Oryctolagus cuniculus: one gene and its partners. Each later gene encodes a partner of the first gene's protein in a complex. Links are inferred from orthologs where the notes say so. Each region holds a gene or a part of one and is shown on either strand. Other genes may lie near its edges. The genes, in order: IQCG, DRC12 and GAS8.

Region 1 (6,185 bases):
TCCCTGCCACCCACATGGAGGATCCAGATCAGGTTCCTGGCTTCTGGCTTTAGCCTGGCCCAGCCCCAGCTGTTGCAAACATTTGGAGAGTGAAATGAGAGATTTCTTTCTCTGTCTACCTCTCAAATAATTAAAAAAAAAAAAAGATAAATGTGCATTTCCCTCAAACTTTTTGAAGTAGTCTCATATGAAAATTCTGTTAAAAAATAATCACATTATAATTATGCATTTATTTGAAAGGCAGAGATAGAGAGAGGGAGAGACAGAGATCTTCCATCTGCTGGTTCACTTATCAATTGGCTGCAATGGCTACGGCTGGACCAGGTTGAAACCATGAGCCTGGAACTCCATCTGGGTCTCCCCTGTGAGTTGCAGGGGACCAAGTACTTATGCCATCTTCTGCTGCCTTCCTAGGCACAATAGCAGAGAGCTGGATCAGGAAGTTGAGCAACTGGGACTTAACTGGTGCCCATATGGGATGCTGGCATCTCAAGCAGAGGCTTAATCTGTTGCTGCACAATGCCGGCCCAACATCACATTATTTTGAGGTTGTTAATATATACATTATCATTTAAAAATTTTAAAGTAAAATCTTAAAATTTTATTTATTTGAAAGGGGGAGGGAGAGAGAGGAAAATAAAGTTACATGACCTTCCATCTGCTGGATCATTCCCCAAATGCCCTCCACAGCCAGGCCAAAGCCAGGAGCCTAGAACTCAATCCAGATCTCCCATGTAGGTGGTAGGGACCTAAGTACTTGAGCCATCACTTGCTGCCACCAGCAACGCTGAAACTGGCAGTGGAGCCAGGACTCAAACGCAGGCACTCTGGTTCAGCATGTGATGTACTACAGAGTGGCGTCTTCACCGCTGTTCCAGATAGCCACCCCTATTCTTTCATTTTTATGAAAATTTACAACTTGTTTGAATTAATTGAGCTGAAAAAATCTGGGGGGCAACTATAGTTATCATGTGAACATTTGCAATTCAGGAATCCACTAAGTTTTTTTTTCTTTATACTTAAAAAACTTATTTGAAAAGCAAAGAGACAGATATCTTCCATCTGCTGGTTCACTACCCAGATACCTGCAAGTTAGGAATGGGCCAGGCTGAGGCCTGGAGCTGGGAACTCAAATCTGGGTCTCCGTGGGTGGCAGGGACCCAGTTACTTGAACCACCACCTGCTGCCTCCCAGGGTGTGCACTAGGAAACTGGGACCTAAACCCTGGCACTCCAGGATAGGAAACAGGTATCCCAAGTGGCATTTTGACTTCTATGGCAAACACTCACCCCTAATTTATCTTTATATTTAAAATACTTTCTGTTACCTATCTTAAATTGAAAGTATAGATCTGGTTGGGCGATTGTTTAACACATAACTAATGTCTGTTTTTGCAGATAAGGGAGTATGAACAGGTCATCATCGAGGATCGTATAGAAAAGGAGAAGACGAGGAAGAAGATAGAACAGGATGACCTGGAATTAAGGAGCATCATAAAGGTAGGAAACAAGCCTCGGCCTCTCAGGGTCCCTCAGGGCCACTGATGGCCTCAGGTGCGGAACACAAAGCTTTTCTCATACCAAACTCTCAGCCGCTTACCGCAGAATGGGAGGGCCCTGAGGAAGTGTGGCTGTTGGTTAGTGCTGGAGTCTTCCAGCACTGATTAGAAAAAGGTGGTTAGCAGCAGAAGCAACACCCGGGTCCACAGGTGGAATATGATTTCTTTCTTTTTTTTTTTTTTAAGATTTATTTTATTTATTTGAAAGACAGAGTTACAGAGAGAGGTAGACAGAGAGAGAGGTCTTCCATCCGCTGGTTTACTCCCCAGATGGCTGCAACGGCCGGAGCTGCGCCAATCCGAAGCCAGGAGCCAGGAGCTTCTTCTGGGTCTCCCGTGTGGGTACAGGGGCCCAAGGACTTGGGCCATCTTCTACTGCTTTCCCAGGCCATAGCAGAGAGCTGGATCAGAAAAGGAGCAGCTGGTCTCAAACTGGAGCCCATATGGATGCCAGTGCTTCAGAACAGGGCTTTAACCCGCTGCGCCACAGTGCCAGCCCCGGAATGCGATTTCTAACCAAACCAGCTCTTGCCAGAATGATTCCTTTGAATGTACTGCTCCCTAAAGTCTTGTCTGCAAATCAGACTGCTGGGTTCTGATAGAAGCGGGTTAGGGATTAAAGACCCTAGTTAGTTATGTGTGAGCTTGTGTATATTAGTAACTGTGGCAGCTCACAGTTCCTGGGAAATACTTTCAGGCAAAAATGGTGATGCAGAAGTCCTGTGAGCTGGACTGACATGCTGTCCTCAGACTGCCCTTCTCCCCGCAGGAGGGCCATCTGCTGAGCCCTGGTGGGCAAGCAGCTTTCAAGTACACCTGGGACCAGGCACGCAGACCCAACCCGAGCTTTCTTTGAGCCAGGTCTATATAGTTAGCACGTATTTATCAAGCTTCTATGGAGTTTTCCATCCATCAGGATTCTTCTATTTAGAGCAAAAATGTAAAGAAGCTGAAGGCCACTTATATTTCTCTTCACTGGTGGATCTGCTTCCCAGTCACTAGGACTTAATTTGATTTTTTTTTTTTTAAGATTTATTTATTTGAAAGTCAGAGTTACACAGAGAGAGGAGAGGCAGAGAGAGAGGTCTTCCATCTGATGGTTCACTCCCCAATTGGCTGCAATGGCCGGAGCTGTGCTGATCCGAAGCCAGGAGCCAGGAGCTTCTTTTGGGTCTCCCACGCGGGTCCAGGGGCCCACGGACTTCGGCCATCTTCCACTGCTGTCCCAGGCCATAGCAGAGAGCTGGATGGGAAGTGGAGCAGCCGGGTCCTGAACCAGCACCAATATGGGATGCCGGCACTTCAGGCCAGGATGTTAAACCTCTGTGCCACAGCACTGGCCCCACTTAATTTGATTTTAAAGTGGACTACAGTGTATTCAGAACAGTTACATCTAACAGAGGTATTCAAGGGAGCTCCCTAGAGCTTTTTTTTTTTATTTTTTTATTTATTTTTTTGATAGGCAGAGTGGACAGTGAGAGAGAGGTCTTCCTTTTCCGTTGGTTCACCCTCCAATGGCCGCTGGGGCTGGCGCGCTGCAGCCGGCACACTGCACTGATTGAAGCCAGGAGCCAGGTGCTTCTCCTAGTCTCCCATGCGGGTGCAGAGCCCAAGCACTTGGGCCATCCTCCACTGCACTCCCAGGCCACAGCAGAGAGCTGGCCTGGAACAGGGGCAACCGGGACAGAATCCGGCGCCTCGACTGGGACTAGAACCTGGTGTGCTGGCGCTGCAGGTGGAGGATTAGCCTGTTGAGCCACAGCACCGGCCTCCCTAGATCCTTTTTGAGAGTAAGAGGCAAATGGGTCCTTTACTCAGTTACTACAGATAGGAGATGTACCAGGAAGCCCAAGGTCATCTGGGCTCATCTGCACATTTTTGATTGAGTGCTTGCTTTTCCCCCTGCCCAAGCACCAAACACTGTTGGTTATGGGGCACCTGGGTGTCCATTAAAGGAAGCAGCCGTACAAGGAAGTCAGGTATCTAAGTGGGAAGGACTATTTGGCAAAACAGATTCCTTCCTGTATCCTTAGTCCTCAAGAACTTAACTCAAGTCCATGGCTTTAGCTCTGGGTCCTGTGCAGCAGGGAAGCATTGCCATGGTGACTGGGTACCTAGCCACTTCCATGTCCTAGGCAGAGACCATTCTCTGACACAGGTTACCTGGTTCAAAAACCCCCTTAGGTGGAAGGCCCACCAGAGGTGGTACTCACACGTCCTGTCTTTCAGCTTCAGGCCTGGTGGCGCGGCACTGTGATACGGAAGGAAATTGGTGGCTTCAAACTGCCCAAAAAGGAGAAAGATGATAGCAAAGAATCAAAAGGCAAAGGCAAAGACAAGGACAAGAGGAGAGGCAAGAAGTGACTGAGCCATTTCTGTCCTTTCTCCTGGTGTTCCAGAGATGGGAAGGGGTGCTTGGAGGGAGAATGATCTCTTTGCACCACAGGTAACTAATCCAAGGTTAACTTGGACTCGGCAAGGGAAGGCTGGTGGTTTCTTTTTGCCTGTTGCATTAGTTTTCAAACCCTGAATCAGGAGTGTACTGTTGACTTCAGGTGTCCTTATATTCTGAATGCTGCCGGCAAGTATATCCAGTAGCCTTATGAAGGTTCTTCCTGCCTTTTCACAAAAAAAAAAAAAAAAAAAAAAAAAAAAAAAAAAAAACCAAAACAAACAAAAAAACAAAAACAGTTCATAGGCTTTGTCATAGTGATACACTAACACACACTTGGGTAATTCCTACAATGTCTCATTCTGACTTTATCCAAAGTGTATACAGGGAAACAACTCTTATGAACAAAACTGAGGTGTTCAGTAGGAATTACAAGATAACGTTTTTAAAGTGTCTCACAAAGTATACACATAGTAAAGTAGTAGTAAACATTGGTTTTTGCTTGCCTTAGATTTATTACCATTTTAGTGTTTTTACTGGGGGGCAGGTGGCATAGAATACATATCCTATTATAGGCTGCTTATGTGAATTTCCTGGGAAATAGGTGAGGATAAAAATTAGGAATTCAAGATAGAAATGAGATGTTAGGACATAAATATGGCCTACAAATAGTAAAGATGGCAACACTTCTCTTGAAGGCTAGTTTGGAGATAGTTTGCACAAGTGAGACGTTAGGGTCTCTCTCTGCTCCGCTTACTCAACAATTCCCACCTAAGGGGCATGAAGGCTAATAATTAAGGTATGTGAAAAGAAGCACCTGTGCCTGGCTGACTGTTCGAGCCCATAAGGCCATTCTTGCTCTCATGAATCCAAATAGAATGTCTTGGGATGCTAAAGCTGTCCTGGTGGCATAACTGGGTATTTCTGGGAGAAAAGTTACCCTTAATGTGTCATCTGTGTTTCATGAACTCCAAATGCGGAGTAGTCTGGATATCTGCTCCCTTAATAAAGTACATTTTGATTTCAAAGGCCTGTTTCACAGACCAGTTCCTTCAGGGAATTCACTACCCCTCCAGAATTCATCTTAGCTGCAGTAACCATACTTGATGTATGAATACGTTCAAACATTTATTTACATGCTACTTAAGTGTTGGCTTTTATTTTAATGTCAATGTGTAAGGCAGCATACAGTCAATTTAAAATAACATATATGATACTGACATATTTATACTTAGAACATATTATGCAATGTATTTACAGACATACAAATATAGGACAGTTTTACAAAACTTGCTAATTACACGTTTTTAACATATCCAGACATAAGATGAAATCCTGCTGTAAACCATCTCACTGTAATGTGTACATAAAAAGACTTCTGAATATCCATGGGTTCCTTCACTTCTATAACCATTTAAGAGCTTAGTTTATATGAATTCAGCCGTGTCAGCACAGTCACACATCGTTAGTCACCGCTGAGCTGTGGAAAGTAGGAGCGGTCAGACTCCTGGGTTAGGTTTCAGAAGCTGACAGGGAGCATGACAGCTGCTTGGCCTCTCTGCTCTGTTCCAGCCAAGCACAAAGGCCCCTCTTCCCAGGAGCTGTTTCCAGACGTGGGCATTGGGAGAGAGGGTTGGTGTGCAGGGTTCTCAGAGATGCGCCAGGAAGCTGGGGAACTGCTGCCAGCATCTCTGTAGGTGGCAGGCCCCTCTGGGTGGGCACTCAGCCTTTTCGGGGTCAGGGCTGGCAAGGTCAAGGTCACTGCTGCAGGTCAGGGGCACTGTGACAAGGACATCTTCATCTTTCATTGGAGCCCAGCAAGACTAAATGTTAAACTGAGTTGTTCTTTCCAGTTAAAAAAAAAAAAAAAAAAAAAAAAAAAAAGAACTACACACAAAACACTGAATACAAAATGTCTTAAAAAAAAAAACAAAAATGATTTTTGTTTCCTGAAACAAACTCAATATATTTGCTACTTTTCATTACCAAAACTCTACACAAATGTTTCCAACAGTTCAAATGCAAATGTGAATTAGTTCAATAAAAATAATATTAAGGTTTCATGTTATGTGCAAAATTTGAAATCAACTTAAATTTCCACTTATTCCAATGGAAACATTTGTTGCCAATGCTGCATTATGTAATGTCTTCTGGAATTATTCCTTGCATAATGTTAAAAACAGGCCAGTCCTTTGTAGACTTTCATTTCTGGTGGTGCTCTGTAATTTGGAGATT
Region 2 (8,084 bases), on another chromosome or scaffold:
AAAAAAACTGTGGGCCGGTGCCGCGGCTCACTAGGCTAATCCTCCGCCTGCGGCGCCGGCACACCGGGTTCTAGTCCTGGTCGGGGCGCCGGATTCTGTCCCGGTTGCCCCTCTTCCAGGCCAGCTCTCTGCTGTGGCCAGGGAGTGCAGTGGAGGATGGCCCAAGTGCTTGGGCCCTGCACCCCATGGGAGACCAGGATAAGTACCTGGCTCCTGGCTTCGGATCAGCGCGCAGGCTGCAACAACCATTGGGGGGTGAACCAACGGCAAAGGAAGACCTTTCTCTCTGTCTCTCTCTCTCACTGCCCACTCTGCCTGTCAAAAAAAGAAAAAAAAAAAAAGAAAAGAAAAAAGAAAAAAAAAGAAAGAAACTGTGAATGGATTTAACTGTATTTTCTATTAACTTTTTTGTTCTTTTGTTGTTGTTGTTGTTCTCATTTCTCCCTTAATTGTAACTATGTTGAGAGTCAGAGAGAGACCGACAGAAAGACAGACAGAGGCCCCATCTGCTGGTTCACTCCCCCAATTCCCCTAATGGCTGGGACTGGACCTGGCCAAAGCTGGGAGCTGGGAACTCAGTCCAGTTCTCCCAAGGGGGTGGCAAGAATCCACCTGCTTGAATCACCCTGCTACCTCCCCGAGTCTCTGCAGCAGGAAGCAGAAGTCAGGCGCTGCAGCCAGGAGTGCAGCAGGCACTCTGATATGGACTGTGGACGTCTTGACCACTAGACCGAATGCCCAGTCTGTATCCCACGAACTTTCTAAAGTACCATTCGAGTGCCAGTTCAAGTCCTGGCTGCTCCACTTCTGATCCAGTTCCCTGTTAATGTGCCTGGAAGGCGGCAGAGAATGGGCAAGTCCTGGGGCCCCGGCACCCACGTGGGAGATCAGGGGTCCAGACTCCTTACTTCTGCCTGGCCCAACCCTGGCCACTGGGGCCATTTAGGGACTAAATCAGCAGATGGAAGATCTCTCCTTCCACCCCCTGCCCCAACTCTGGCTTTCAACTAAATAAATATTTTTTTGAAATAAATAAATCTTTAAAAAAGAAAGACTTGTGTCTTTAAAACAAGAGAAAGGGGCAGACTTGGAAAGCAGACTTCTGACCCTCCCAAGACTCCTGGTTCAGGATCCCCTTGTCCAGATTTGAAAGCAAGGTCCCCTCCCTCCATCAGGACAGCAAGGAAATGCCACCCAAGACCAAACAGAAAGGCAGGAAAGCCGGCGTGCAGAAGAAGAAAAAGAACCCAGGGCCGGGTGAGTCGTCGTGGGTGGGGGTGGGTGCCCGTTTCTCTGGGTTCTGAAACAGAGACCAAGCAGAGGCCCGCAGCACAGTCCTCGCTGTCCAGATTCCACGGAGCTGAGGAATGGGGGAATGGTCACCCACGCCCTCCCTCGAGACCGCCCAGCTCTGTGCCTCCCCACTGGTCACCCATATGTTGAATGCCTCATCTGTGCTGGGCAGGGAGCACACGGTGCATGCTGAATGGACTCTGCCCGCAGGGAGCCCTCAGAGCTGGCTCAGGACGGAGTCCAGGGCCGGGGGCGGGGGTCATGTAAGCTAAGGCTCTGTCATTTGCCAGGACAGATGTGGAGGCCGAGTCCAAGCACAGACAGCTGGTGCTGGAGACGGAGCTGCTCCGAGACCGGCTGGGTAAGAAGGGTGAGCTATCTGGGACCACAGAAGCAGAGCAGTGGGGGCGCTGCTGTGTCCTGGCGGGACTGGACGTTTGGAGCCACGGTGGAAGCTACGCCAAACCCTAACCATCCCCTAGTGGAACAGGACAGGGAAGGCTGATGAGGGACGCTATTATTTACAGCCAGAACATGGAGGGAGGTTTTACTCCTTAGCAATGAAAAGCTCATGAGATCCTAGGAAAATAAAATGACCCAACAACCTGGAGAGACAGAAAGGGGCGGGCATTGTGGTGACATGGGTTCAGTCACCACCTGCGACACCAGCATCCCACTGGCTGCTCCACTGCCAGTCCAACTCCTGCTAATGTTTCTGGGAAAGCAGCCGGTAATGGTGCAAGTACTGGGGCCCAGCCCCAGCCATAGCAGCCATTTGGGGAGTGAATCAGTGGATGGACAATCTTTCTCTCTCTGTCTCTGTCTCTCTCTCTCTGCCACAGTGCCTTTCAAATAAATAAAATAAATACTTAAAAAGAAAAAAAAAAACAGAAAGAGAAAGAGAAAGAATAAGAGGTGGGGTGCCCTGCCCCCAGGTGTCTTTTATTTTTAAGATTTATTTATTTATTTGAAAGTCAGAGTTACATAGAGAGAGAAGGAGAGAGAGAGAGAGAGAGAGAGAGAGAGAGAGAGGTCTTCCATCCACTGGTTCACTCCCCCAGTTGGCTACAATGGCTGGAGCTGCACTGATCCGAAGCCAGGAGCCAGGAGCTCCTTCCAGGCCTCCCAGGCAGGTGCAGGGGCCCAAGGCATTGGGCCATCTTCCACTGCTTTCCCAGGACATAGCAGAGAGCTGGATCAGAAGTGGAGCAGCCAGGACCTGACTGGTGCCCATATGGGATGCCAGCACTGCAGGCAGTGGCTTTACTCACTATACCACAGCACCTGTTCCAGCTACCACCGGATTTCTAGAGACAGGAAAGGCCATCCAGCCCTCTGGGGCTGATTCAGCGGCCCTCAGCAGGCTCTGAGCAGGGCTCCGGGACCGCTCGCAGCTCTACAGGGGGAAGGGGCCCGTCGAGCCAAGGCTTCTGAAGAAAGGCTGAAGCAGAGGTTGCAAGAGTTGGAGGCTGAACTGGAAGAGGCCCGCAGCGAGGGGAAGGCCGTATATGCAGGTGCGTGGTCGGTTCAGCAGCTGGGCAGGACACAAGGGCCTGGGAGAAGATAAGAGGGGCTTCTGACTGCCGGGCCCGGTCTCAGCCTTCCCTGCGTAGCACAAAGCAGGCAACTCCTGGTGGATGCAAGGAGGCCTCTGGGCTCGCAGGCAGGGACCTTCCAGGGTGCCTGGGGCCAGTGTCAGTGCCAGCTGCACTGGGGGACACAGGACGCAGTCCCAGCCACTGTTTCATTCACTCAGCAGCAGTGAGCGGGCAGATGGGCTGGGGCCCTGATCCTAAGCCGGAGTGGGGAGGCGGCCTGGTGTCCTTCCCTTTCCCCAGGTGTCCAGGGTCTCCCAGCATCCCAGGATCACAGGAACTGAGCAGTTCCTTGGGCTCCTGTCTCCTGGACCACACAGTTCCTTCCCGCCCCCAACTCCTTGCCTTTCTCCATCCCTCCTCCATCCCTGGCCGTCCACCGTCCTCCCTCCAGAGATGAGTCGCCGGTGCAGGGCCCTGCAGGAGCAGATGGAGAGACGCAGCAAGCAGCTGGAGGAGGAAGTGAGGGGTCTCCGCAAGCAGCTGGGTAGGTGCCCCGCCCTGCCCTGGGCCTTTCCTCTCCAAGGGAGGCTGACAAGATCCAGGTTCAGTGCGGGGGCAAACTTAGGTCTTCTCCTAGAAGGCTGCCATCGTCTTCCCCTCCCCCAACCTTGGCTCCCGCAGTGAGGATCAGGCAGAGGTGAGGACAGCATGCAGCTCACTAGGCTAATCCTCCGCCTGGGGCGCTGGCACCCCGGGTTCTAGTCCCGGTTGCACCTTTTCCAGTCCAGCTCCCTGCTGCGGCCCAGGAAGGCAGTGGAAGATGGCCCAGGTCCTTGGGCCATGCACCCACATGGGAGACCAGGAGGAAGTACCCTGCTCCTGGCTTCGGATCCGCGCAGCGCACAGGCCGTAGCAGCCTTTTCGGGGGTGAACCAACGGGAGGAAGACCTTTCTCTCTGTCTCTCTCTCTCTGTCACTGTCTAACTCTGCCTGTCAAAAAATAACAATAAAAATAAAAATAAAAATAAAAAAAGACCCTTTAGGGCAAAGTAAGGAAGAGGCACACCTCGCCCTATCCCCCCTTGCCTGGAATCTCCAGACCCAGCTGTCACCTCACTCCCTGCCACTGCCACGTCTCTCCAGGGCATATCAGAGCACATCAAAATACTCATGGAAAAATGGAATTACAGGATAAGCTTAGGTGCAAGAAACATTGAAAATCTATGCATTTTTTAAAAGATTTATTTATTTATTTGAAAGGCAGAGTTACAGAGAGAGAAAGAGAAACAGAGACACAGAGATCTTCCATCTGCTGGTTCACTCCCCAAATGGCTGCAATGGCCTGTGCTGGGCCAGGCCAAAACCAGGAGCCTAGAATTTCATCTGGTCTCCCACATGGGTGGCAGGGGCCCAAGTACACGGGCCATCTTCCAAAACCTTCCCAGACACATTAGCAGGAAGTTGGACCAAAGGTGGAAGAACCAGGACTTGAGCCAATGCTCCCATGTGGGATGTGGGTATTACAAGTGGTGCCTTAATCCACAGCACCATAATGCTGGCCATTATTTCCAGTCATATTTCCTTCTAACTTTCTGAAATATTCTTCATCTCCCTTCTCAGGTTAGCTAATTTTTACAATGAAACTAAGGGAAAATGTTAGGCTTCTTAACTTCTATATCTCTAAGGCCTACCACCTGGTAGATCCTTTTTCCTAAATAAGTGGATAAACTCTCTATATAAGCAAAAATATAAAAGCCAGGAAGCCTTTGCTTCTCTTCCCTCTTGCTTCTTGGCCCAGTCCTGGCTGTTGCAGCCATTGGGGAAGTGAACCAGAGGATGGAAGACCTCTTTCTCTTTCTCTTTCTCTTTCTCTCTTTCTCTTTCTCTTTCTCTCTTTCTCTTTCTCTCTTCTCTTCTCTTCTCTTCTCTTCTCTTCTCTTCTCTTCTCTTCTCTTCTCTCTCTTCTCTTCCTTCTCTCTCTCTCTCAATATAAAAAATTATTTATTTGAAAGACAGAAAGGAGAGTTCTTCCATCCACTGGTTCACTTCCCAAATGGCTACAACAGCCAGGACTGGGACTGGCTGAAGCCAGGAGCCAGGAACTCCATCCAAGTTTTCCAAGGGCCCAAGCACCTGGGCCATCTTCTTCTGCCTTCCCAGGTGCGTTAGCGGGGAGCTGGATCAGAAGTGGGACAGCTGGGACTCAAACTGGCACCCTGGTGTGGGACGCCAGTGTCACAGTGGTGGCTTAACCCACCACACCACAACTCTGGCCCCTCATTTGCCCTTTAAGATGAAGAAACTGGGGTAGGTGTTTGGTGTAGCAATTAAGATGCTGACTGGGTGGCCCACATGTCATTTTGAAGCTCCAAGGTTTGAGTCACAGCTCCACTCCTGCTACTGTGCACCCCAGGAGGCAGCAGCTGATGGCTCAAGTAGTTGGATTCCTGCCACTCACGTCAGACACATGGATTAAGTTCCTGACTTCAGTTGCAAGCATTTGGGGAGTGAACCAGCAGAGAGGAGCCATGGTGTGTGTGTGTGTGTGTGTGTGTGTGTGTGTGTGTGTGTGTGTGCAAGTGCCCACAGATGCCTCTCAAATAAAGAAGAAACTGGGGTTTAGGGAGACATGCGTGAGCTTACACGAACAGTGACAACCAGACTTAGCCCCCAGCTCCTCTCCAAGCTCACTACTCATAAACCTCAATGGACCTTCAGCTCTTTGCAGGGACTATGAGGAGGTCGCTGACCTGGGCGGAGTCTGAAATGAACACACTCAGAGCCTCCTTTTCAGGTGCCTTTGGAGACTGTGCAAGCACCAAATTCACCGTCCTGTCCTCTCCCATCCTCTGCTCTGCTCCCCAGAGACTTGCCAGAGGGAGGCTGTGGCTGCACAGGGGGAGGCAGCGAGGGCCCTCGGAGAGCGGGACCACACCTTGGCTCAGCTTCGGGCCCACGTGGCCAGCATGGAAGCCAAGTACGAGGACATCTTACACGTGAGCACCCCGCCACCTCCACGAGCCCCACAGGGTGATGACTGACAACCCGGGGGGAAGAGAAGAAAGGGACTCCAAGGGACCCCTGCTCTGTCCCTAGCACAGGCAGAGGGAGTTCCACGGTGCCCACTCCCTTAGACCAGGAAGAATGCTGGCAGGGAGAGCTCACAAGGCAGCCGCCCTCTCTTCCTGGGGACTGGGAGCTTGGTATCCGCAGGGCAGCCTGGACCGGCTCCTGGCCAAGCTGAGGGCCACCCAGCCCCAGTGGGACGAGGCCGCACTGCGACTCCACGCCAGACACAAGGAGCAGCTGCGCCAGCTTGGACTCAACCCCCTGGATCTTTGAAGCTGCCAGCCTCTGGGCTCTGGGACCCTCTGAGACCCCAGAAATAAAATATCCTGAAGGAGAACTCAGCTGAACCGTGGGCTGTGGCCTTTTGTCATAAAGGAGTGGCTTCCGTGGGGACACCTCTGTTCTGAGCATCCCGTCCCTTGATCCACAAGGCTGAGTGATGAGAGAGAAAACCGGCAAAGTCCCACCCCTTCTCCTACAGAAACTGGAGCCCAGCCCCCGAGCCTGGGACCTCCAGCTCCCTTTAAACCACTGCCCCATATCTCCACCAACAAAAACACAGGCAGTCCGATTTATGGGGAAAGGCCATTTAAATAACAGACACACAGCGTCCAGGGGCCAGCCCCCCCAGCCCGAAGGTGCCCACTCAGGGAGGGGGTTGCTGGGTCTCCCAATTCTTGGACCCAGAGAGTCCCAGAGTGGCACCTAGGTCAAGTCCCAGAGGGCTTCCAGCCCAGCCAGCCCCACAGCACCCCCTTCTCAGGCAGAACTTAGTCCTCGGGGTGCAGCCATCTACAGCCACCGAGGGACATCCCCCGGCACCTGAGGCCCCCGAGGCCTCTGCCCCAGCCCTTCTGCTGACAGCTGGGCCATGGCAAGGGAGGGGGCTCCCGGGCAGTGCTGCGGTGGGCGGTGTCCGAGTCCTCCAGCCCCAGCTTCCGGCTGAGTGACAGCATCCTTGCCACCACCTCGGGCTGGCTGTGAAGACACGAGAGGCCCTGGGAGATCTCGCCAAGCTGAGGCGCTCTACAGCACATCCGAGGGGAGAGCCCAGTCCTGCTCAGAGACAATGGCAGAAGGTTGTCCCTGGACCCTGAGTGTCCCTTCGCCCTGCCCCCACTGCCCCCGAATGTGCAGGAGTGGCATTGTTCCGTGGATTCTCTGCCCCCCGACCCCGTGACTTGAAGTCCCACCCTGCAGCCGTCCCACTCTGGCCTTCGCTGGCGCTCGCAGTCCCACCTGTCTCTTCTTGCTCACCTCTCCAGACCCGGGGGGAGTCCAGGCCTCCGAGCCCCACTGAGACCTGGCCGCCAGCTTCAGGCAGAGGGGTGGCTCCGCCTCCGCCAGCTGCTGAAGCCTTTGCGGGGTGCCATCTCCACCCACGGAGACCCCGTTCACCTCCAGAACCATGTCTCCCCTTTGCAGCCCTGCGCGGGCAGCGGAGCTTCCTGGAGTCACCTGACGGCACAGAACAAGGAAAGGCCATGGGGGAGTCTGCCGGGTGCCAGTGCTCTATGGCTCTAGGAGGGAGGGAGATGGGCACTGATCAGGAGGAAATGCTGGGAAGGGGGCTGTGCTATGCCGTCTACAGCAATGGCATCACACATGGGCACTGGTTTGAGTCCTGGTTGCTCCACTTCCAATTCAGCTCCCTGCTAATACACCTGGGAAAGCAGCGGAAGATGGCCCAAGTCCTTGGGGCCCTGCACCCATGTGAGAGACCTGGAAGAAGTTTCTGGCTCCTGGCTTCAGACTGACCCAGCCCTGGCCATTGTGGCCTTTGGAGAGTAAATCAGCAGGTGGAAGATTCTCTCTCTCTCTCTCTCTCTGCTTCTCCTTCTCTGTACCTCTGCCTTTCAGATAAATAAATAAATCTTTTTTAAAAAATGCTGCAAAGGACCCAAGCTCCAGGGGGCATCAGTCACCTGGGAGATAAAGAGAAAAGGCCCACTGGCCACAAAACTGAGTCGGAAGCCATAGCCACCGCCAGGCCCAGGGTACAGGAGGCACCGGCAGGAGCCAGGAGGGAGTGGAGGCTCGGCGGCATCTTCAAGGCACGCATCCTCGGACTCAACCAGAGCAGCCACGTGGGTGTCCTGGGTGGCGGTGATGGCCTCTGTGTGCTCCAAGAAGAGGAGTGGGGAGAGGCGCACCTGGAGGGCCAGAGCGAGCGCACCTGTGGCA
Region 3 (7,518 bases), on another chromosome or scaffold:
GCCCCGACCGGGACTAGAACCCGGTGTGCCGGCGCCGCAAGGTGGAGGATTAGCCTATTGAGCCACGGCGCCGGCCTTGCACAGTCAAGTTTTGAGTGAGTCTGGGGCTGAGCCATTCTGAGGGGTGCTGGAAGTTTCTAGGTAGCGACTGAGACACGTTGGCTGAGTGCACTTGGGTACCAGGCCCTCAAGAGGCCTATTCTAGGGGGCTGGTGATCTAGAAAGGAGACGAGACAGTGCACAACATAGTATATAGAATTTGAGTGACAGACACTCACAGGTATGGCTCAGCTTAAGGGGGGGTCCCTGTTGGAGGAGCAACGTGGTGCAAGAGTGGGGAGCAGGAGTGAAGGGAGGCAGCCGTTTCCTCCGAGGGCTCTGGGAAGCACTCCCGGAGGGGGCAGCGTCTGGCAGAGGCCAGAAGGAAGGAGGTGACAGCCCCAGAGAGGGGCTGGGCCCATGGGAGGGCCCAGAGGCCAGAGGAGCGAGGAGTGAGAGGGCTGAAGGGAAGCCGCAGGGCTCGTGGGCCTGAAAAGCCACAGTGAGTTGGCTGTCAGTAGCGTTTTGAGAATTTGGGCAGAGAGGAGCTGCCTTTGACTTCAGTTTTCAAGGTTGCTCCTGGCTGCTGGATTGGGCAGAGTTTCTTCACACGTTTGTCTCATGTCTGGAAGTAGCCCAGCCTTGACAGAAGCTGGAGGGAACTTCAGTGGCAGCGAAGACTGCATTGTGGGCCGCTGTAGCTCCGACTCTGGTTTTGGGTGAGCTGAGTGATGTGAGGCTGTCGGCATAGCCTGAGTCCTAGATAGGAGGCTGTTACATAATCAGGGCTCTCCTTTCTAGAGCAGTGAAAAGATTGCTCTAAAAATAAATTTTTATTCAAAAACTTGCAGTAATTGCTTATCATGGTACGTGTTGAGTGCTGCTCTAAGCACCAGTGAGGCAGAGTAGCAGGAGCTGGTGAGGGACCTGGAGAGCCCACAGTCGTGCGTAGACAAGGCACTGCTTCTCAGCGTGTGAGAGATGGAACTGTGCTCAGTGCCTTGTCTGCCGCTGCTCTCTCAAGCTTGGTAGGAGGTGACCCAGCCGGCTGAAGGAAGTGCCTTAAGAGATACGGGGGTTGGATTGGGGTCGGTACTGTGACGTAGTGGGTAAAGCTGCTGATTGCAGTGCTGGCTTTCCATATGGGCGCTGGTTTGAGTCCTGGCTGCTCCTCTTCCGATCCAGCTCCCTGCTATGGCCTGGGAAAGCAGTAGAAGATGGCCCAACTCCTTGGGTCCCTGCACCCATGTGGGAGGTCCAGAAGAAGCTCCTGGCTCCTGGCTTTGGATCGGTGCAGTTCCCGCCGTTGTACCATCTGGGGAGTGAACCATTGGATGAAAGACCTCTCTGTCTCTCTCTGTCTCTCTCTCTGCCTCGGCCTCTCTGTAACTCTGCCTTTCAAATAAATAAATCTTTAAAAATAAAAAAAGGTGTGGAGGTTGGGGCAGGTACTTGCCATAGGGGTTAAGCTGCTGCATAGGGCACCGGCAGCTTGTAGCATACCCGAGTGCCTGGTTTGAGGCACAGTCCTCTGCTTCCCATCCAGCTTCCTACTCTGGTGCATCCTGGGAGGCTTAAGAAGTTGGGTCCCTGCCGCCCATGTGGGTGACCTGGATTGAGTTCTTGTGTCCTGGTTTTCACCTGGTCCAGCCCTAGCTGCTGCAGGCATTTTAGGGAGTGAATAAGTGGACATATGGACAGTTTCTCTCTGTCTGCTTTTCCAGCAAAAAAGGTACCATCTTAAGAAAAACAGGAAGAAATGTGTCCCATGTCAGAGTGCCTGGATTTGACATCTGACCTGCCCCTGGCTACACACTCCACTGTTTGCTAATGTAGACCCCAGAGGCAGTGGTGGTGGGCTAAGTCATTGGGTCCCTCACACCCACATGGGAGACCACTGGCTTCTGGCTTGGGCCTGGCCCAGCTCTGGCTGTTAATGGGCACTTGTGGAGTGACCATTCCAGCAGATAGAAGCTCTCTATTCTGTCTCTGTCTCTCTGACTCTTAAATACAGAAGAGGGGAACCAGAAAGCATGGAGGTGACCAAACCATGTTAGCCAGCAGCAGCGCAGGATTTTCTGAGCTGGATGTCTCCTGGAGGGTGGGAGTGTGGTCACTGCAAAGGAGGGGCGCTTCCTCTGGTCCTGCTAATAACTGACGTTCTCCTCTGCAGAAACACACCGAGGAGATCACTAAGATGCGGAACGACTTTGAGAGGCAAGTTCGAGGTCAGTCTCTCCCATTCACACTGTGCAGCCTGGGGCCAGACCCCGCCGACAAGAAGCAGCCACGTCCAGAGCTTGCTCAGTCAGGGTACATAAAGTGGATCAGAGCAGCCCAGGAATGCAGAGAGCTCACTTCCACGAACGCTTGGGACGCTGCGCTCCCTCACTTACCTGCTCCTGGCTGGGGTCAGCGGCTGCCAGCAGGCATTTGTTTTTTTTTATTTATTTTATTTTATTATTTTTATTATTATTATTTTATTGACAGGCAGAGTGGACAGTGAGAGAGAGATACAGAGAGAAAGGTCTTCCTTTTCATTGGTTCACCCTCCAATGGTCGCTGTGGCTGGTGCACTACGGCCGGCGCACCGCGCTGATCCGAAGGCAGGAGCCAGGTGCTTCTCCTGGTCTCCCATGGGGTGCAGGGCCCAAGCACCTGGGCCATCCTCCACTGCACTCCCGGGCCATAGCAGAGAGCTGGCCTGGAAGAGGGGCAACTGGGACAGAATCCAGCGCCCCGACCGGGACTAGAAACCGGTATGCCGGCGCTGCAGGCGGAGGATTAGCCTATTGAGCTATGGCGGTGCCAGCAACCAGCAGGCGTTTGTTAGTCACTCTGGTGGCAACGTCGGAGGTTCATCTTCTCCAGGCCTCCTGGTCGTCCGGTTTCAGAAGTCGGCCTGGTTTCCAGTAAAGCCTTGTCATCTTTGGCTGCTCCAAGGCCATACGGGCCGTGGTTGGTGCCCGCCGGCACTGGCTGACGCTCAGCTGCTGGGAGCCCTGGCAGAGGAAGGCAGCGTATGCTGAATGTGTCCCCTGTGCGCCTCGGCAGGAACGATCCACCTGCACCGTCCTGCTCTCCTGTGGAGACCTTTATGCACCTTGGTCTTGGCCGTGGAAGGTGTTCTGGGGCCCTGTTCACAGACCCCATCTGTGTAACTGCAGGGGCACCTGTTCTTCCTCTTGTAAGCTTCTGTGTGCGCTGCTGCCTTTCAGAAATTGAGTCCAAGTACGATAAGAAGATGAAGATGCTTCGGGATGAACTTGACCTGCGGAGGAAGACTGAGATCCACGAGGTGGAGGAGAGGAAGAACAGCCAGATCAACACACTGATGCAGCGCCACGAAGAGGCCTTCACCGACATCAAGAACTACTACAACGACATCACCCTCAACAACCTGGCCCTCATCAACTCCCTTAAGGTGCTGGGAGACACAGTGTGCCTGTCTTAAAGCCCACTGGAGGATGCCCCTCTGCCGTCCGTCCTTTGAATTCACAAACGTGCCTAACTGAAGCCAGTCAGAGCATCTGCCTGGCTGCACTGTAGAGGGAAGAAGTGGTATGGGAAGGCTCAGGCACACCCGTGGCCGGCATACGGCTGCGGTGCACTGGACTGGATGGCACGGAGTCACTCAGACGCTGGCAGTGGTAAGGTTTCCACAGCAAGCCAGCTTTGATGGAATCCCAAAGTGTCATCTCTCTGCCTGGACGCTGCATTCCTAGAAAATTCAGAATCAGTTAAAACTGTGTGTAAATACTCTGTTTATACACGTACCTGTTGGTGAGACTGAGGACAGCTGGCCTTGCCCTGCAGGCCGTAGCCCCTCGTTTCTGCCCAGCTAGCACCTCCCGTACCTCTGCTTGTGCTGACAGGAGCAAATGGAGGACATGCGGAAGAAAGAAGAACACCTGGAGAGGGAGATGGCGGAGGTGTCCATGCAGAACAAGCGCCTGGCCGACCCGCTGCAGAAGGCGCGGGACGAGATGCACGAGATGCAGAAGCAGCTTGGGAACTACGAGCGGGACAAGCAGATCCTGGTTGTGAGTGTCCTGCCCACTTCTCTCCTTCCTGGGCTCAGGAGGGAGCGAGCGGCGGGGAGACGGCTGAGACGCCTGAGTGGCCTTTGCCCTTAAGTCAGGAATGGAGGGCTGGGGGCTGCAGTCTCCTGTGTGTGGCTGGTGCCGGCCTGGGGATGTGAAGTTGGCGGGTGTCCTGGGAGATGGCCCTAATCTTTGATCGTGTCCCACCAGCTGGCCGTGGTGGGAGGCAGCTGCTTGCATCTTCACACCGGTGGTTTCACTCGGTTCTCTGCGCCCTGCCTGTGTGTGAGGGATGCCTGTGAGTCCTGAGTGATTTCTAGGTCCCGTTGCCTGTTGTCTCTCCAGTGCACAAAAGCGCGTTTGAAAGTCACTGAGAAGGAGCTGAAAGACCTGCAGTGGGAGCACGAAGTGCTGGAGCAGCGGTTCCTGAAGGTGAGCGAGCACCGGGCTTGCCTTCAGTGTGGCCAAGACCCCTGCCAGCTGGTCAGGGCTGTCCTGGGGCCTCGACCCCTGTCACCCGCTCCAGGAGGTTTTGACAAGCGGCTAGTTTCTGGGTTTGAAAGCTGGAGTTCCTTTTTAAAAAAAGATTTATTTTATTTATTTGAAAGAGGTAGAGAGAGAGGTAGAGACAGAGAAAGAGGTCTTCCATCTGCTGGTTCACTCCCCAGATGGCTGCAATGGCTGGAGCTGCGCCGATCGAAGCCAGGAGCCAAGAGCCTCTTTTAGGTCTCCCACGTGGGTGCAGGGGCCCAAGGAGTTGGGCCATCTTCCACTGCTTTCCCAGGCCACAGCAGAGAGCTGGATCAGAAGAGGAGCAGCCAGGTCTAGAACCAGTGCCCATCTGGGATGCTGGCACTTCAGGCCTCTGCCACAGCGCCGGCCCTGAAAGCTGGCGTCCTTAATGCTGGCTCTGTACTTCACGCAGCTTGTAGGAGGCAGAACCTTGGGGCCTGTTCTGCAGAAGGTGGCCCGGTGGTGGTGGCTGCGCCCTCTCTGTCTCCTCAGAAGCCGGCCTCTCACACAGGTTGGGTAGCTTGGCCCCTCACGGCAGCCCTTTTCATCGCCCTGTGTCACGTTCCTGAGCACTAGCCTAACTGCACAACGTGGCACTGTCCATCGTGCAGGTGGAAAGGAGCCGACCTGCTGCCCAGTAGTGGCCCTCAAGGGGGAGGCAGTGTCGTGAGCCTCTTTCTAGACATGGTCTTCTTCCTGTGTGCTTTACTGTAGAAACTGGGATTGTGTTGTAACCAACACTTGCATTTTTTTTTAAAGGTTTGTTTATGTATTTGAAAGTCAGAATTACAGAGAGAGAGAAAGAGAGATATCTTCCATCCTTGGTTCACTGCCCAAATGGCTGCAGTGACCGGAGCTGTGCCAGACTGGAGCCAGGAGCTTTTGCCAGGGGCCCAAGCACTTGGGCCATCTTCTGCTGCTTTCCCAGACACATTAGCAGGAAGCTGGATGGAAGAGGAGCAGCCAGGACTCGAACCAGCACCCCTAAGGAATTCTGGCTTTGCAGGTGGCAGCTTAATCCGCTGCGCCACAGCACTGGCACTGCTTTTGACACTTGTGTGATGTCTTCATTCCTGTACAACACAGTCAGTAGCAGAGTTAGGAGAAGAGGAGAGTAGTTCTACCACTGGGCAGTGTGCTGGCTTCCAGACTGGCCATTGTGGGGTGCGTCGGCAGCAGTGGGATTCCAGGACCGCTCAAGGGGCCCCCCACCTCATAAATGCTTCCTGCTGGCAGTTAGATGCCTTGGATTTCACACACAGGTGGTCAGGGACAGGTGTCACTTGAGGTCAGAAGCAGTAGCTCAGGCTGTTGACCACTTGTGGATTGGCTTTTAGCTGGGGCTGCTCCAGCTCCCACCAGGATGCCCCTTTGCTGCCTGAGACCTTCCTGGGGGGCAGCATGTGCCCAGCAGGGGCAGGGGTGGGAAATGACCTCTCGCCAGGGACATGTCTGCAGGTAAGCGTCCTCGATGCTTACCCCAGTCCCGTCTCTGCAGGTACAACAGGAGCGCGATGAGCTCTACCAGAAGTTCACGGCCGCCATCCAGGAGGTGCAGCAGAAGACGGGCTTCAAGAACCTGCTGCTGGAACGCAAGCTGCAGGCCCTGAATGCCGCTGTGGAGAAGAGGGAGGTGCAGTTCAACGAGGTGCTGGCCGCCTCCAACCTGGACCCTGCCACCCTGACGCTTGTGTCCCGCAAACTTGAGGTAGGCCTTGGGCAGGCTTCTGAGGCGGTGCGGGCCAGGCTGGCCAAGCGGTGGGACTGCTCACTGCTGCCCCGTGCCTGTGTGGGCGGGCAGAGACCTCTCAGGTGACCGCAGGGGAGCTGCTGGTGGTGGCCTCTCAGGCTGTCGTTGCCAGCTTGTGGACACGTCAGTGGGGCTGCAGGCTGTCAGTCTCCCCCAGCCCCTCCTTCCTTCATGGTGCCTGAGACTCAGCCCCTCCCACTGCAGCCACCCAGACTGGCTCACGTCAGGTTCTTGTTACCTGAGCACAGCATGAGGACGGGTTCTCTGCGGGCCTGAGCTCTTCAGCGACAGACCCAGACACAGGCCTGGGGAGCAGCTGCGTCCCTGGGCTCTCCACCTAGGAAAATCACAGCCCCGGGGGCCCCCAGGAGAGGGTGGGTGGGGAGAGCCTTAGGTTGGTGGAGCAGGGGTAGTGAGGTCTCAGCAGACCCAGAACATTCACTCATTTGTGTCCATTGTTGCCTGCGGTGTTGCTCTCCTGGCCCTGGCATGGTGGGGGCAGCCTTGGCCCCCAGCAGACAGCTCGGGGATAGAAGAATCTGAAGCCTCAGACAGCCTCGTAGCTCAGCTTCTGCTGGTTGTCCAGCTTCCACAGCTAGGCCTGCGTCCATCCCCAGTAGCAGCAGGTGCAGCTCCCGCAGGGGCCCTTGGAGACAGACACAGGTCCTCAGCCTCTGGCTCAGCTGCTGCTCCCAAATTGGGCACAGCTGATCTCAAAGCCTGCAGCCTGCCCATCGAGGGGAGTCCCTTGTCCCTGAGATGGACCCTTGTGGGGCCAGTGGACTCCTCTCTGTCCCTCCTCCTTGTGCTGAGGTCGTCAGAGACACAGATGGCCTGGTTACAGATTTGAAGTGTCCTCATAGTTGATGGAGGGGTTTTGTTTTGTTTTGTTTTCCCCTAAAGATTTATTTATTTCAAAGGCAGAGTTACAGAGGCAAGAGAGAGAGAGAGAGAGAGAGAGATCCTCCATCTGCTGATTCACTCCCCAAATGGCTGTAATGGCCAGGGCTAGGCCAGGCTGAAGCCAGGAGCCAGGAGCTTCCTCCAGGTCTCCCACATGGGTGCAAGGGCCCAAGGACTTGGGCCATCTTCCTCTGCTTTCCCAGGTGCATTAGCAGGGAGCTGGATTGGAAGTGGAACAGCCAGGACACAAACCAGTACCTGTTTGGGATG

The links.
Region 2: IQCG (region 1) and DRC12 share a complex: the UniProt entries of both Homo sapiens proteins name them as parts of the nexin-dynein regulatory complex. The link is inferred for Oryctolagus cuniculus from reciprocal best matches to the Homo sapiens genes DRC9 and DRC12.
Region 3: IQCG (region 1) and GAS8 share a complex: the UniProt entries of both Homo sapiens proteins name them as parts of the nexin-dynein regulatory complex. The link is inferred for Oryctolagus cuniculus from reciprocal best matches to the Homo sapiens genes DRC9 and DRC4.

The regions. Positions count from the first base shown.
Region 1 is NC_091435.1:82,161,108-82,167,292, forward strand, and holds the end of IQCG (dynein regulatory complex protein 9), read left to right. Parts: intron 1-1,397; coding exon 1,398-1,499; intron 1,500-3,787; coding exon 3,788-3,922; 3' UTR 3,923-5,837; downstream 5,838-6,185. UniProt on the Homo sapiens protein: Component of the nexin-dynein regulatory complex (N-DRC), a key regulator of ciliary/flagellar motility which maintains the alignment and integrity of the distal axoneme and regulates microtubule sliding in motile axonemes.
Region 2 is NC_091432.1:111,114,342-111,122,425, forward strand, and holds the end of DRC12 (dynein regulatory complex protein 12), read left to right. Parts: intron 1-1,175; 5' UTR 1,176-1,187; coding exon 1,188-1,257; intron 1,258-1,588; coding exon 1,589-1,654; intron 1,655-2,687; coding exon 2,688-2,807; intron 2,808-3,282; coding exon 3,283-3,375; intron 3,376-5,696; coding exon 5,697-5,827; intron 5,828-6,044; coding exon 6,045-6,173; 3' UTR 6,174-6,241; downstream 6,242-8,084. Other genes in the region: NHERF4 (Na(+)/H(+) exchange regulatory cofactor NHE-RF4), read right to left, coding at 6,693-6,878, 7,158-7,358, 7,826-8,053. UniProt on the Homo sapiens protein: Component of the nexin-dynein regulatory complex (N-DRC), a key regulator of ciliary/flagellar motility which maintains the alignment and integrity of the distal axoneme and regulates microtubule sliding in motile axonemes.
Region 3 is NC_091449.1:69,571,634-69,579,151, forward strand, and holds part of GAS8 (dynein regulatory complex subunit 4), read left to right. Parts: intron 1-2,212; coding exon 2,213-2,267; intron 2,268-3,257; coding exon 3,258-3,463; intron 3,464-3,914; coding exon 3,915-4,082; intron 4,083-4,427; coding exon 4,428-4,514; intron 4,515-6,093; coding exon 6,094-6,303; intron 6,304-7,518. UniProt on the Homo sapiens protein: Component of the nexin-dynein regulatory complex (N-DRC), a key regulator of ciliary/flagellar motility which maintains the alignment and integrity of the distal axoneme and regulates microtubule sliding in motile axonemes.